2 linked regions of the Schizosaccharomyces pombe genome follow. The protein of the gene in region 2 interacts with the protein of the main gene of each other region in a pairwise test. Each region holds a gene or a part of one and is shown on either strand. Other genes may lie near its edges. The genes, in order: fma1 and zng1.

The links.
Region 1: the proteins of zng1 (region 2) and fma1 interact in a two-hybrid assay, tested with the Schizosaccharomyces pombe proteins (one large-scale study listed by BioGRID).

What each region holds. Positions count from the first base shown.
Region 1 is NC_003423.3:2,676,978-2,681,023, forward strand, and holds fma1 (methionine aminopeptidase Fma1), read left to right. Parts: upstream 1-1,813; 5' UTR 1,814-1,895; coding exon 1,896-2,012; intron 2,013-2,064; coding exon 2,065-2,085; intron 2,086-2,134; coding exon 2,135-2,180; intron 2,181-2,240; coding exon 2,241-3,196; 3' UTR 3,197-3,306; downstream 3,307-4,046. Other genes in the region: SPOM_SPBC3E7.09 (Sad1-UNC-like protein), read left to right, coding at 1-1,619; SPOM_SPBC3E7.11C (DNAJ domain-containing protein type Caj1/Djp1), read right to left, coding at 3,456-4,046. UniProt on the Schizosaccharomyces pombe protein: Cotranslationally removes the N-terminal methionine from nascent proteins. The N-terminal methionine is often cleaved when the second residue in the primary sequence is small and uncharged (Met-Ala-, Cys, Gly, Pro, Ser, Thr, or Val).
Region 2 is NC_003423.3:3,018,610-3,022,923, reverse strand, and holds zng1 (nucleotide-binding domain-containing protein CobW/HypB/UreG), read right to left. Parts: upstream 2,244-4,314; 5' UTR 2,072-2,243; coding exon 836-2,071; 3' UTR 687-835; downstream 1-686. Other genes in the region: NatC N-acetyltransferase complex catalytic subunit Naa30, read right to left, coding at 1-287, 376-491; gpt2 (UDP-N-acetylglucosamine--dolichyl-phosphate N-acetylglucosaminephosphotransferase), read right to left, coding at 3,340-4,314. UniProt on the Schizosaccharomyces pombe protein: Zinc chaperone that directly transfers zinc cofactor to target metalloproteins, thereby activating them.

The sequences.
Region 1 (4,046 bases), 340 kb from region 2:
CAATTAGCCCACCATTGGTGAACGAGACGTCTACAATTTCATCCTCAAAGAAGCTAGAGCAAAACTATTCTGTAACGGAAGTTATTGATACTAATATTATTACTAGTTCTTCGGTTACTCTACCAATTTCTGAGGATGGTTCCTCTACTTCAGCAGCAGCTACAATTGATTCAAATATAGATGAAAAGACTGTTGCATTCTCAGAAGAAAAAAGATTCAACTTTGCTTCAACTGACTGCGCTGCTGCTGTCATTAAAACAAATCCTGAAGCAGTCGGATCTTCTTCGATTCTGACCGAAAACAAAGACAAATATATGCTGAACAAATGTTCCGCTGAAAACAAGTTCGTGGTAATTGAACTTTGTGAGGATATTTATGTCGATACAGTTCAAATTGCCAACTTCGAATTTTTTTCAAGTATATTTCGTGATTTCAAGGTCAGTGTAAGCGGTAAATATCCAAAATACGAGTCTTCTTGGATGGAATTGGGTACATTTACGGCCTTAAACCTAAGGACTCTTCAATCTTTTCATATTGAGAACCCTCTTATTTGGGCGAAGTATCTTAAAATAGAGTTTTTAACTCATTATGGGTCAGAATTTTATTGTCCTGTAAGCCTACTTAGGGTTTATGGAAAAACTATGATAGAAGAATTTGAAGAAGCAAATGAAGACTTCTTAGAACAAAAAGTGAACGACGGAAGCGCTATTAAAGCAGATGAAATCCGGAAGCCTCAAGAAAGTCCTATTTTTGTGGACGAAGAAGATACCGATGTTCAAAGCAAACCAGTGAGAAAGAATCCATCAGTCGAGTTGAATAGTACAGACACCTTACTTTCTTCTACTGTGATATCTAAGTCTTTGAGCACTGTTGTTATAGGAAATGAAACAGGAAAAAGTGAATCATATCCTGCAACATCAACTCGCTCTTTTAACGATATTTCTCCATCTTCTTCATCTTCTTACAGTACCGCTCAAATATCTACCTTTCCTTCTAATCAGGAAAGCATTTACAAAAACATAAATAAGCGTCTTTCTACCTTAGAAGAACGGAAGAAGGCATTTGATGAAATTGTAGAAAAAATATTAACAAATTATGGTAAGCACAATGCCAAAAACATGAATTTTACGCAGCTATTACATGAATTGAACTCGACCCTTCAATTAGAAATTTCGAAATTGTCGAAAAGTGTCGTTAAGCCGTCTTTGTTTGCTCTCCAAGCTAAACTTGAGCTTCTTTCTGCAGAAAATGAATACTTTCAGAGTCAAATTACTTCACTATATCAAGAATCATCTTTTCAAAAGCGACTTTTAATGCTTCAACTCACGGTTCTAATCGTTTTAACAGTGTATATGGCCGTATCGAGGCTTCCAGAAAATCTGCCAACAACCCGTTCATCTTCAAACAACCCTATTGAGGCTTCAAGACCACCTTTTTCACGTGACGAGCAAGATATTTCGAAGGCCAACGATTTTCGCGTTAGCGCTTCCTCAGCGGTTTATACCGTTGGACCTGAACTACTGCAAAGAAAAAAGCGAGATCCAAATACCAGCATACGCAGTATACACGAAAGAGAACAAGATAAAATTATACATTCTAGGAGCCATTCAGTATGCTAATCATAGAATGTATTGTGAAACTTCCATATTTTTTCATAAGTTAATGATTTAAATTCATATTAAAATTAGAAAAATGAATTATTTATTTAAAAACTGAAAAGCATATATTAAAGTTATTTTTTTAGTTTTGCAAAAATCATAACTTTAAAGAGTGGCATTGGGTTATATAGGTTCCAACGACATTAATGTACTTCACGGCTACGAAGCACTAGTGTGACTAGAAATTCTCGAGTCTAGAAACTAAGGCGAGTGATACCCTTAAGACAAAGTATTTATATGGCTACTGAAATTGCAAAACATATTTGTTGCGGTATAGATTGTAATAATGAAGCTGACAGACTGCAATGTCCCAAATGTCTAAATGACGGAGTTAAATCTTACTTTTGTGGACAGGTAATTTAGTTTTTCTGTTAGTTTACGTATTTACTAATTCAAAAAAAAAAAGGAATGCTTCAGGAACAGCTGGGTAATACAAGAAAATTTCGTGTAACGTAAATTAACACTAGGTAATCCAGAATATTCACAAACATCTTCATCGTCCACCGAATGTAGAAAAGAGAGGTACGTACAACAAAAGTATATAGCTTTTATTTTCAAGCGTTTTTCTAATTTGTTCATCAGAGGATGGAACTTACAATCCTTTCCCAAAATTTCATTTCGCAGGTTCATTGAAACCAGTTTATCCGCTTTCGCCTATACGCAAGGTTCCTCCACATATAAAAAGACCTGACTATGCGAAGACAGGAGTCTCTCGTAGCGAGCAAATTGAAGGTCGAAGCTTCAAACTGAAGAGATTGACACCCAAGGAGCAGGAAGGTATGCGTAAAGTATGTAGACTTGGTAGAGAGGTACTTGATGCTGCCGCTGCTGCCGTCCGTCCTGGAACAACTACCGATGAACTTGATAGTATTGTTCATAATGCATGCATTGAACGTGATTGTTTTCCAAGCACCCTTAACTATTACGCGTTCCCAAAAAGTGTTTGTACTTCTGTGAACGAAATCATCTGTCACGGAATTCCAGATCAAAGGCCACTTGAGGATGGTGATATTGTAAACATTGATGTTTCCCTTTACCATAACGGTTTTCATGGTGACCTAAATGAGACTTACTATGTTGGAGATAAAGCAAAAGCAAATCCTGACCTCGTTTGCCTTGTAGAAAATACGAGAATTGCTTTGGATAAAGCAATTGCTGCGGTAAAACCGGGAGTATTGTTTCAGGAATTCGGAAATATTATTGAAAAGCATACAAATAGCATTACTGAGAAGCAGATTTCTGTCGTCCGCACATATTGTGGACATGGAATCAACCAGTTATTTCACTGTTCTCCTAGTATTCCTCATTATTCCCACAACAAGGCACCTGGAATTGCTCGCCCAGGAATGACTTTTACAATCGAACCTATGCTTACTCTAGGTCCCGCCCGAGACATTACCTGGCCGGATGATTGGACTAGTTCAACTGCATCTGGACGCTGTTCTGCTCAATTCGAACATACACTGTTAGTTACAGAGACTGGTTGTGAAGTTTTAACAGCCAGACTCCCCAATTCACCTGGAGGGCCCTTAAAATAAATTTTGATATACCCAACATGAATTAAAATAAAAGCAGAAAATTTTTCTTTGTATATGAAATTTATAAGTAAAAGGCTGAAAGAATTATATATGAGATTTCCTTCCTTTAACCAGAATAATGACACTTGTACAAACACATTGACTATATTACATACTTGCTGAAAAATGTGAGGTGCATACCCAAATCAAAAGCCTTCGTAGTCGACTATGAACCAATTTCCAACAATCACTAACCTTTATTACGTAAATCCAATAATGACTATTTACCTCTGTCGTTCATTAAGTCTTCAAAATAATTAGCGTCACTCTTTTCGTTTGGCGCGACTTTCAGAAATACCTGACCTATCATAAGCAAGGCATTAGCGCGATTTATCCTTTTCTCAAGAGGAACAGCTTTATCATAAAGAATCTTGTCGCTCACAGTTCTTATCACACTTTGAACTTCAAAACGCGTTCCTTTCCATGTTGCAGATAAAACTTTACCAGTTAGTTCACGGGCAGCTTCATCTCTTTTTTCTTTGGACCATTGCTCTTCACCTTCTTCTGCTTTTGCTAACGCAGCTGCAGAGGACTGAACATCTACAGCACTAACAACCGTATTCCAAGTGTCTTTCAATAAAGTTCCTTTTGCACAAAGACTTCCCCATACACCTCTGATACCCAAAAAAGATTGGGATTGGATAAGTATGTTCGCACGTTGCACATATGTGGAACCAATCGCATGAAGCATTTCATTCCCAAATGACTCATCTTTTAGTAATTCTGCTTCAAATTGCATTTTCTGTTTGAAAGCATCAGTCACTCTATCAGACATATCGGTTTCAGTCCATATAGAAAGTTTATCCAAAAG
Region 2 (4,314 bases):
AACGATAAAGACGTTTATAGCGACAAAACCCGAGTCTTTCATAAAAAGACATGGCTGCCTCATTATCCACCTCTGTTTCCAAAACAATTTCCTGGGCACCTCTATTTTTCATTACATCCAGACTAGCTTGAGTCAATTTAGTAGCGATTCCTTGTCCCCTGTATTCTTTTACTATGGCCAGCATTGCTATATAACCTCTAAGCGTCGTCCCTCTATGAACATCTTGTTTGCATATTACAGCTCCAATAAATCGATCATTATCTAAAGCAACAAAACTGAATTCTGGCCTTTAATCTGTCAGTAAACTATAATGATATTGCCGAGTTTCATAATATGCAAGAAGCAGTTTGAGAAATCAATGAAATGGGAACATACCATTGGTGCACAAAATAACGATACACATATTTACTATATGGCTCACTCAAATCTTTTTGAATAAGCTGACATATATCTTTTAAATATTGGTGACTGTATGGGACAATTGTCACCATTCTCTTCTAGATATAATTTAGGGTCTGTAACGGTTGCAGAGCTGTATATATCAACAGCTTTAAGACGAATGTCGAAATTACAGATATAGCGTTAAAACGTTATATGCGGTTCTTAAACTGAGTATTATAAACAATGAATAAACGAGTAGGCCAGTATAAATTAAGTTTATAATTTGGCTTTTTTGCTTGGATTTGTTACATCTATGTCAATGATATGACATTTATAATATTGAGTGTTATATAAAATAATTTAGTATAAAAGCTTTTTATTGCGTACATTTAAAATTAATTCAACAAACATATATCAATATACATTATTAAAATGAAATATAAAATAACTGCCATTATTGGTTTCCGACGACGAAAGGAGATATTCGATGTAGATTACGCCCAATTAGGATAATTTCGGGATGGATATCCTTTTCTAAAAATGCTCGAGGCTTCTCCGACAGCGGCATAATTTCGAATACTTCGCGAACACCCTGAAAGATGTACCAAGAGCCATCGTCTTTATTAAAAATTCCTTTACTTCGATAAATCATAAACTCCTCGTCTTCCCCTTCCTCCAAACAAGACCAAAGTGTATGACGAACCCATTGTAGAAATTGCTGAAAAACCTCTTTCGACATTAGTGGGGGCAGTTTAAAAGTATGAGTTGAGATATCAAGGCTATGCGTATCGAGAGAATGCAAATGTTGGCAATCCACGTCCAAACAAGTAGAACAATTAATATTGCTATCATTGCTCCTTTGAATCGACCACTCAAGATTAGAAGTATTTTCGTTGCCGTATGCATCCAAGTCCAAAATTTCAGAAATGTCATCCAACCGTCCATATGTTGTTTCAATAATCTTCGCTAAGCAATTGATCTTCAATATAGTTTGACGTACCACAGATAATGCTTCAGAAGAAATAAGATCTGTTTTGTTTAAGATCAAACAATCAGCATGTGAAATTTGAATAAAACCAATATCACTTTCATCCTTTAAGATATTATCTATATTTTTACAATCAATAACAGTAACGATGCCATCTAACTTGACATCGCTTTTCAACGCGTCGTCCAACCAAAATGTTTGAGCAAGAGGACCAGGATTGGCTATACCCGTTGTTTCAATTACAATGTTATCAAATCTCCCCTTTTGCCTCATAATTTTTTCCAAAGCTTTAATCCCATTGTCTTTCACAGTGCAACACATGCACCCATTTGAAAGAGCCACCCACTCTTCATAAAGTTCTTCTCCTCCAACATCCTCCATTAAGCTCCTTTCAAGGTCTCCCGAATCACCCACCTCATTCATTAATACAGCAACCCTTTTACCATTTCGATTTTCAAGAATTGACCGTAGCAAAGAAGTTTTACCGGCACCCAAAAAGCCCGTCAGTATTGTGACAGGGACTGGGTCCAAGGTAGAGTCATGATCAACTAGAAGAAAATCTGATTGCTGCTCAAATGAATCAATATCATTATTGGACGAAACCGTAGGTACGCTTAATGTTTCCGAATGCGGTTGTGTGTTAACCTCTTCAACGTCAACCAGCTGTGGAATTTCCGACTCGTTTTCAATTTCAAAGTCCATTCTTACACCTTTTTTAAATAATGGTCATATAATTAATCTTTTCGAGTTGAATACTTTGAGAAATACTTCTAAAAGCCTCAATTTAGGTCTCACAGGTAAATACTTTCGAAAAGTGTTAATAATGAATTTTTTTAGTATGAAATTAGCACAACACTGTGTTTGCACTATATGCAGTCATTTCGTATAACACTGACATGGTTTTATAGCGAAAATTGTCAGCAGCTACGAATGAATAGTGTGATAAATTACTTATACAACGAATTTTACATGAAATGACTTTATAGCAAAAGCAAGACATCAGAGCAAAATAATAATAAACATAGCAAGTAATTTATTAAAACTACATATAGGCAATAGAATCTTTAAACATATTATTGCGAAATATTAATTATGATACAATAATTTACAATTATATATGATGAAAGAAAATGTTACTTTACATAATCCATTTCGGATAACTTTACTATTTAAGGCAACCATATCGCCTTAATTAGTAAAATTGCCCCAAATGAGGGACGAACTCAAAAATGATGCATCCGGAGCTGACCTTAGCCAGTCCACAGTTATTCGTCAGGGCTCAGTGCAATGCCAAGACAAATAACTGAGTCTCCACAATTCTTGTGCTGCAGAAACTCATGCCAGGTAAGTAAAGAACCGTAAGTGTAAGCACCCATATTTATAGTAACGACGCGGAACGAAGCAGTCACGAAAGTAGTCACATTCTTACATGCAATAAAGAAGTACAGTATAATTATTTAACAAAAATGATATTTAAATCGTTAAATTTTGCTGATTAGTGAAATCGTTCAGCGATTTGTAATTATATAAATCTCCAAAATTTCATAATAGGAAATGATTTCGTTGCTTTCAAGCCATGAATAGTTAACACGATGTATTAGTTTCTTAACTGAGTATTTTCGTAATGTCTAATCAATGCTATTTTCAGATGACTTTGGCAAGTTCTTGTAAACTCTTGTATTTTATTTTATTATTTTATAGATAAAATTAGTGTAAAATGACAGGTTACCAAAGACTTAAAGAAAGTTGTGTTTAACTAATCTCATCTGAATGAATTTTTGGTATTCAAATATGTGGACAAACATCGGAAACAAATTCAGTACAGTCTGTACACAACGTACAAAAGAAATGAAAGAAGAAGTCATAATAATTAACTATTTTCCAATTTTCAGTTAGAAAAATAAAAAAAAATAGAAAAAACCGGACTTCCATAGATGCTCATTTTTGGTCCAAAACATGTGGAATGTGAATTATATGTTATCTTCAGGATACACTAAAGGAGCGACAAAATGCCTGATAATTAAACCGAATATTCCGGTAAGTAATTGCAATCCCATTATACATATTGTTAAATGGTCTTCCCTCATTGGGCCCAGATGATACAAAACAAAATTAATAATTGTAAAGTTCGTACACCTGAGCGGGCGCCCGGTGCTAGGATCGTACTCAACCCGAATCAATCGTAATTTTTCAAAAATAGAAATAGTCAGCAAAGTCTTTTTAGGTAAAGGATGCTCGTTTAGAGAGAATTCTGTGTAGGAGTTTTCCAACAATCCAGTTTTCACATTTAGTTTAGGAAGTCGATGACGGGGACATTCAACCAATCCAAAAAGCTGTGGAACGGAAAGCGCAAAATTGAAAATTTGAGGGATAAAAAAGAGCATAAGTGTCTTAGAGAAATGACCTAAAATTCCAACAACTGCCATTACCATTCCTGCAAAATAGCAAAACGTATCACCTACAAACACTCGCGAAGGCCACCAATTGTATTTTAGAAGCCCAGCAGTGACACCTATAAGAGGCAAGACTAGATAAAGGGAAAGGAGATGAGCTCTTAATGCATCCTTATTTTTGGGAGAGAGTACATAAAACAAATCATTGCAAGCAATAACAAGAGCAAGAACAAGCGATTGGCCTGCCTCAACACCATTTACTCCAGCAATAATGTTAATACTGTTTGGACAAAAAATCGCAACCGCAGCCATATAAAAGTAATAAAGAAAACCCAAGTTGATAAGAGATCTCTTTAAAAATGGTCTTACAATGCTAGGAACGGACACATAAGTAACTCCATAGTCAACGTAGTAAACAACCAACAATGGGATAGCGGCAATTGCTGGTAAAAAGAATTTATGCCTCCATCGAATATCGAATAAATCATCAAGAATTCCAAGTAAAGAAACCGACAGAATTGAAAGGAGGGCAGACAAATAAGCGCCCAAAAG